Linked DNA regions of Ovis aries. The protein of the gene in region 1 binds, or shares a complex with, the protein of each later gene. Links are inferred from orthologs where the notes say so. Each region holds a gene or a part of one and is shown on either strand. Other genes may lie near its edges.

Region 1 (3,814 bases):
CTTTACCTCTGAGCTATGTAGGAAGCCCTTCCTTATTTCAAGGCTAAAATTCCTTATATCCTTCCTATTTCAGGGTTAAACTAGCCAGCATCGTAGCAGAAACACAGCAGCAAGACCTGGAGAAGATGTGCCAGTATTCCCAAGAGCTGGGGGTGCTGACGGAGCAACTCCATAGCCTGACCCTCTTCCTACAGACGAAACTAAAGGAGAAGGTGGGATACGGGGTTTCCTTCTCTTCCCTTACAGTCATATCTTCAAATAAAGACAGTTTTATTTCTTCCTTCCCTGTCTGTAAACCTTTTATTCCCTTTCTTACTGCATTAGCTAGAACTTCCCCCACAACGCTGAAAAGGATTCAAGTTGAGGAAGTTCCCCTCTAATCTTGGTTTACTGAGGGTTTTTCCAATTGTATCTTTATTGTATAGAATGGTCTTCCTAAAATACTGTTCCATTTCTGTGACCTTCAGTGACTTTCAGTTGCCTACAGGATATCTTCAGCCTGTTGTCTGTCTCCTTCTTTCCTATTATGAGCTCTTTACTCCCACTAGACTGCCTACACACTACACACACATCTCATTTCCATTCTTACCTGGATGCAGGCTGTTACCATGTTCATTCTCCTCTGTCTTCAAACTGGAAATGTCTTTTCCTTCCTATTAAAATCCTCTCTGGTTCACTTTCTTTGAAATGTTCCCAAACATCAGTGGACTCAGTGATCTCCTGCTGTATTTCTCATGAGCTTACTCTCCTTTTGCACTTGTATTAATTTTCCTTGGATGTTTGGTCTTTCTGCTAGACTGTGTTTATAGCAAGCAGAAGTTTAGCATTGCTTCTTTGGCTTCCCCACAGTGCACACTGCAGAGTAAATGGTGGATATCTTTCAGACTGCAGAGTTAATTAGCTTATTCAACAGTTAAGGGCAGAGCCAGAATCCTGAAATCAAATTGCTTATGAGCTGACCCCATTCCCCAGCGTGTGATAAGCACAGAAATCTAGTCTTGGGAAGACAGACAGATATAAATATGTCATTTTGACTTGTGATTGTGATAGAAGGTTGTATGGCCACAGAGAAAGGAGCATCAGCTTTAGTTTTGAGAGTTAGGATGTCGTCTCAGAGCAGGTGATTCTTGGGCAGAGTCTTGAGGTTAGAAGTTTGTAGAGCAGGGGTGGGTATACAGGAAGGCCCACCAGGCAGAAGGAACAGCATATGAAAGTCATAGAGGCATTAGGGGTACTTTTTGTAGTGTCTACCCTGTGACAAGGCCTGGGTCAGGTGCTGGGCTAACCAGGTGAACAAGGCCAAGGCTCTGCTCATATGGAATGTGGTGAGTTTGGGGCCTGGGAAGTAGCCCTTTATAAGTGGATTATAGAAGCTATGTGGGGCAGGGATGACAAGGGGAAGAGGCTGGAGAAGTAGGCAGGAGGCCAGATTTTTGAAGACTTGAACTAATAGCGATTATAGAAGGGATATGGAGGAGGGGATGGATTGAATGAATTCAATACATATTTAGGAAGTAAAGGTAATAGAGGGCTTCTCTGGTGGCTCAGCAGTAAAGAATCTGCTTACAATGCAGGAGATGTGGGTTAGATCTTGGGTTGGGAAGATCCCCTGGAGAAGGAAATAGGCAACCCACTCCTGTATTCTTACCTGGGAAATCCCATGGACAGTGGAGCCAGGAGGGCTACAGTCTGTGGGGTCATAAAAGAGTCGGACATGACTTAGTGATTACATAACAACAGAAGGTAATAGAATATGGTGACCAGTTTGATATAGGAGTAAGGTGAAAGAGTGACTGATGATCTTTTTTGCTGGAAAGATGGCAACACTCTATAGAACTGAGATTGGCAGACTTTTCCTGTAATGTGCAATGTGATAAATATTTTCAGTTTTGCGAGGTATGTGATCTCTGTCTCAGCTACTCAACTCTGCCTTTGTAGCTCAGAAGCAGCCATAGAGAGTATGTAAATACATGGATGTGGCAATGTTTCAATAAAACTTTATTTACAAAGACAGGTGGCAGGCCAGATTGAAACCACAGGCTGTAATTTGCTGCCTCCCTGCTCTAGGATCTTAAATACAAGTGGGGTGGGGCAGGAAAAATGGTTAGCTCAGCTTTATACATAGTAAATTTCAGGTGAACCGTGGAGCAATCTGGTAGATTTTTCACAGGCAGTTGAGCCTTTGGACCAGGAGATTGGGGAAAAGTCCAGTTGTAGAGAGACAGATTGAAGGGTCATCAGTGTAGAAGTGGATGCTTCTGTGGAGCTCCTGAGGTGAAGCCATGTGGGGAATGAATTAGAGTGTAAAGGGGATCAAGTATGAACCAGAAGGAGCCCACAGTTAAAGATAGACCTCCGCACAGAGAGAAGAAATAGCCAGAAAGGTATGAGTCCTACCTGTGAAGCAAAGTTATGTCACAAAAGCTAAGAAAATGAAATTTCCAATAGAACATGGTCATTGGTTATTACATAGGTCAGGTGAAATAAGATCTGAAAGGAGTCCACTGCATTTGAAAGTAAGGCTGCCCTTGGAGCACAAAATAATGAGGATGCCTTTGGTGTTCCAACAATGGTGGAATGGTGGGCAGAATCCTGTGTGTAGTGGCCCAGGGATTCCATAGATGGTGAGAATTTAAGGCAAGAAATGTAATCTTTTCTTTCTTTTATTTAAATTGAAGGGAAAGAGAAAAGGCAGTAGCTGAAAGGGTACTTAAGGTAAAAAGAAGGCTTTTTAAAAAAAAATTACTGTTCTAGTGAGAGAGAATTAAGTTCAGGGAGAGGAACTAATGGAAAAGTTGAAGATAGAGAAGAGAGGTGATAGAACAGCATTCCCACGGAGATGGCTAGTGAGTACCTGTAAGTTCAGGGAACTCAACTAACCCTGAAAAGCAGCTGACATTTTTTCTCCTTTGCCCTCAGGCTGAACCAGAGACCCTCCCGATAAGCACAGCCAGTGCTCTTTCCCAGGAACACCCTCCGCCCAGTGACAGCACCTTCTTGGGAAGTGCCCAGACAGCAGAGGCAGATGAAGGTTAAAGGCCCTGGAATTGAAGGGTGGGAAAGTTGGGACCCTGCTCCTGGTATCTTCAGCTGTTGAAGATGCTGCCAACAGACCCCTTCTCTCCCGGCTTCTGTGGTGGCAGATCCTTGACGGGGCCACCAGAGGGGCCCTCTGCCACAGTTGTTTTTTGTTTCAGACCCAGAATCCACTCCTGTGCCCTTGCTTGGAAGTGACAAGAGTGCTTTCACCAGAGTAGCATCAACAGTTTCCCTTGAGCCTACAGGTTAGGATGGGCTCCAGGGATCCTGCCTCATTTCTAGATCTGGTTGTGATGATAAAGGCTAAAGCAGTGAGAAGTGCTTTGCTCTAAAAACCTCAATTCAATTTGGGCTTATTTCAGTTCTGCCTTTGGGGGATCGGTAATGTTCCAGATATTCAAATCCTATGGGTGGGGAACATGGATAAGAGTGGAAGAAGTGATGGCTATGTACTCCTTCCTTCTGGAGCTAAAGGGCTTTGCCTCTTATCTAGTACTTTCTCTTTCAGAAAGCCCAGACATTGAGAAGAGCCTGGCAGAAATGGGTACTAAGACTCTGGAACTTCAGAGCCTGTGTTCCTTGTTGCAGGAGTCTAAAGAAGAGGCTGTCAGGACTCTGCAGCAAAAGATGTAAGTGGAGTGCAGTCTTAGTGAGAGAGGGCAGGTCATGTGAGCAGCCCCTTAATGTCAAGGGCCCAGCCAGCTCCTGGTGGGGGCAGGAATAATACTGAATTTTTCCCTCCCTTAGATGTGATCTGCAGGCTCAGCTGCAGGCC
Region 2 (3,814 bases), on another chromosome or scaffold:
GGGAAGACGACGAAAGAAGCTACTTTAGAGATGGTCTTTGAAACTGACATGTTCCGTTTAGGCAGTAAGCAGGTTTTGAATTTTTGCTAATATGCCAGATACTCTCCTAGATGCTGAGGTACAAAGACATCTGCAAAGCAGGAGGCCCCAGCCTCCGGAATCTAATGCCTGATGATCTGAGGTGGAGCTGATGTAATAATCATAGAAATAGAGTGCATGATAAATGTAATTAATGTACTTGAAGCATTCTGAAACCATCCCCACCCCACCCCTGGTCTGAGGAAAAATTGTCTTCCAGGAAACTGGTCCCTGGTGCCAAAAAGTTTGGGGACCACTGTCTTAGAGAACTAGTTAGTGAGCCAGTCTGGTCAAAACAACTAAGCAACAGCTGAAGCTTGAAACAGCTTGCATGTAGCTTAGGGGAGCAGGCAAAGTGCTTAAGAGCAGAATGAGATAGTTCCATTGAATTGCTGTATGAGGCAGGGTTCAGCTGTGTTTTGCCTTGCTGGCAGCCACACTGCCTCTTGTGATCTTTGCTTATATGAATCTCCACCCTCTGGCCATTCGGTTTGCTATATCGTCAAACTTCTGGCCACCCTCAAACACTGCACTGTCACATTTAAAGAATTTTGGTTTCTATTCCCAGTTGGTCTACAAGTCTTATTCTTCAGGATTTATAGAATTGGCAGCTGTTGGTCATGATATGTGAGGTTTCACCCGTTTGTTTTCCTTTGCAGATGCACAAACTCGAGCCACTTTTAAGAGCCAGTTACCTGTTAAGTCCAAAGAAGTTGATGTTTCCAGACCTCATTCAGGAGCTTCAGAGACTGATGTTACAAAAATCATCAAACCGAGACGAGAGAATGGGTGAGTCAGAACATCAGTATCCAAATAGAACTTCCTGTTAGAAATTGCTCAGTACCAAGAATTAGGGTTTTGCAGAGCACAAGGTGTCTGATGGATTGGCCTGTAGTCAGTGGCCCAGAGCATCACAGCATTGCTGAGCTGTTTTTCAGAACCCTCGGTATTGATAGCTCAGAAGAGGTGCAGCCAGGGTTATAATAGGTACTTTCTTCCTCTCTCAGCATTTGCTTTGCATGTGCAAATAGCAGCACTGCAGCCAAACCCCAGCCCTAAGTGGTAGTCGTGGCAGGTGGGTGCTAGTTGTGAGCCTGAGTTGCTAGTGTGAGCACAGGCCAGCCTGGCATAGTGTGTGTATCTTTCCCGAAGTGCTCAGCTCCCACTGAGTCAGATTGACATGAGGTAGCCACACCATTCTGAGCAGGAGCAGGTCTCTCAGGCTGTCAAACCGGTCAGGAAGGGAGCCCATTCCCTATTCATAAGCCTTTTTCAATAGTCTGGGCAGAAACAAAAGTGTGTGGTGCAGTTGAGATATAGTTGACATATAACATTGTGTTAGTTTCAGGTATACAACATAGTGATTTGATATTTGTGTATACTGTGAAATGATCACCACAGTAAGGCTAGTTAACATCCTGATTTGTTTTTGCTTCTCTAGGCAGCTGAAGGCTACAGACACCTCCAGGAGGAACCTCAGGAAGAGGTGAGCAGCAGGGTAAAGAAAACTTGGCCACCACTTTAGGGTAGTGGGCCTTAATACAGAGTAGGGCTCTGGTTGTACCTCAGAATCACTCATGGGACTTGTTTTACCATGTTGGAGTCTGGTGCCACCTCAGAAATTGGAATGGAGTTTTCAGGGGTGAGACACAGCCAGGCCTAAGACCCAATGTCAGGGCAAGAGTCGGTGATATGACAATCTTGAGCAACAGACAGGAGTTTGGGGGCTCCACGCCAGGACCACTGCTTAAACCCAGTGATAGCCCTTTAACAAGGGCAGGAAGCCTCAGGATGGGAGAAGCTGCATGTGTTAGTGATTTCAAAATGAGTATTCTACTGCTGGTGGTAAAATCTTGGAGAAAACTGCATCTTTCTATGCTTGAGGCTTGCTTGGCCATTTCAGTCCCGAAGGCAGAAATAATATAAGCTAGAAAGTTTGTAGAAATAGGTTGTAATTCCACATCTATTATTGAGCATGTCTTAAAAGTTCTAAAGACAAAATACTATTAAGACAGACTCAGAGAACTTTAAAAAGATTCAGTATTGATGATGATAATGGCGATTACTGACTAAAGTTTACTATGGGTCAGTAGCTCTGTCACAATTTGCATGTATATTCTCCTTTATCCTTCACAATAATAATAATATGAGGTGAGGGTATTAATTCTACAAATGAGGAAACAACCTGAGAGGCTACAGAGCTCCCTGAAGGTCGTATTCCACTATGTGATGAGGCCAGGATTTGAACCAGCCTGTTTGTGTAACTCCATAGCCCATACTCGTAACCCCTCCACCTCTTTATCTAAGTACAATTGTCATTACAGCTACAAACCATTGAGTAAACAGAAATCAGAAGAAGAGCTCAAGGATAAGAACCAGCTCTTAGAGGCTGTCAACAAGCAGTTGCACCAGAAATTGATTGAAACTCAGGTAAGAGACCCACCAGACCTCTGCCATCAGCTGCCCTGGTGAAGCACGTGGACTCCTGAGGGACCACACCAGGTGGTCCTGAGAGCAGCCAGAAAAGCCACTGGGCTTGTGCTGTGGCTGTTTGCAAGGAATGGGATGGGCCTGCCCTGTCTGCATGTTCACCCCAACAGGGAGAGCTGAAGGACCTGACTCAAAAAGTAGAGCTGCTGGAGAAGTTTCAGGACAACTGTTTGGCAATTTTAGAAAGCAAAGGCCTCAACCCAGGTAGGAACTGCCTTCAGAGGAGTCAGTGCCTGTGCCCTTTCCTGAGTGGTTCTGGGCTGTGTGGCAGGAGTTCAGCATGGTGTCAAGCCAACCTGGGCAGGGCAGGGGTTGCCTAGTAAAGCCCTGAAGATTTCAGGGAGCGCCTCTCTAGTCTCGGGTGATGTTGACTCTTCCTGCCCAAAAGTATTTCCGGTGTTGTGGAGAGAGGGTTATCTCTTTCTTACCTGAACACTTTATGCCATTCTTTTGATGCTGATCTTGCAAATAGATCAGAAATATCTTCTTTATTTCGAGGGATATGGCACACAAGGAATCTTCATGGGTGGAGAGAGAGAGAGGATACTGTTGAAAAGGTTCTGAAGCTGGCTAGTAATCTCTGAGTCATGATGTGATTCTTGTTCTTACCCTGTCCCTAGAGGGCTGCTGCTGCTGCTAAGCCACTTCAGTCGTGTCCAACTCTGTGCGACCCCATAGACAGCAGCCCATCAGGCTCCCCTGTCCCTGGGATTCTGGGCAGTCTGTAACAGAGGAAACAGTGGAAGGGATTACCCAGAGACTGTCAGAGAGCCTGAGTTGAGGAACTTGAGGATGCCCAGGGAAGGAGCCCCGGCTTCTTTGAATTAGAGTACTGATTTTGAATGCTGCCATTAAAATAGTGCATTTTAGGATATATTCGTTATAGTCACCACACACGTTTTTGCGTGATTTTAATTGCCTATGTGTATGCATTGTTTTTACAATAAAAATGTTGAAGGCCTATAGAGATTTTATAAATAGTTTTATGTACTGTAAACAGACCTAAAACCTATACATTTCTTTTGGACAAATTTTCTGCTGAGCTGAGGAGAAAGTTTTGGCCATATCCATACCTGGAGAGGAAGGAGAAGTAAAATCCAGCTCTGGAGAGCAGGCATGGGGGACCCTGCCAAGGTGAAAGCTCAGGAGAAAGTGTCCAGGCCCAGACCCTCAGAGAAGTTTCCCTCATGAATACTCCTGTGGAGGGCTTTTTATTTTAAGTTGTAGTTCCCTAGTCACGGCTGAC

What was found.
Region 2: SPAG5 (region 1) and KNSTRN share a complex: the UniProt entries of both Homo sapiens proteins name them as parts of the astrin (SPAG5)-kinastrin (SKAP) complex. The link is inferred for Ovis aries from reciprocal best matches to the Homo sapiens genes SPAG5 and KNSTRN.

Annotation. Positions count from the first base shown.
Region 1 is NC_056064.1:19,981,636-19,985,449, reverse strand, and holds part of SPAG5 (sperm-associated antigen 5), read left to right. Parts: intron 1-73; coding exon 74-212; intron 213-2,919; coding exon 2,920-3,031; intron 3,032-3,197; coding exon 3,198-3,284; intron 3,285-3,547; coding exon 3,548-3,668; intron 3,669-3,786; coding exon 3,787-3,814. UniProt on the Homo sapiens protein: Essential component of the mitotic spindle required for normal chromosome segregation and progression into anaphase. Required for chromosome alignment, normal timing of sister chromatid segregation, and maintenance of spindle pole architecture.
Region 2 is NC_056060.1:34,208,896-34,212,709, forward strand, and holds part of KNSTRN (small kinetochore-associated protein), read left to right. Parts: intron 1-737; coding exon 738-867; intron 868-1,519; coding exon 1,520-1,564; intron 1,565-2,402; coding exon 2,403-2,508; intron 2,509-2,678; coding exon 2,679-2,772; intron 2,773-3,814. UniProt on the Homo sapiens protein: Essential component of the mitotic spindle required for faithful chromosome segregation and progression into anaphase.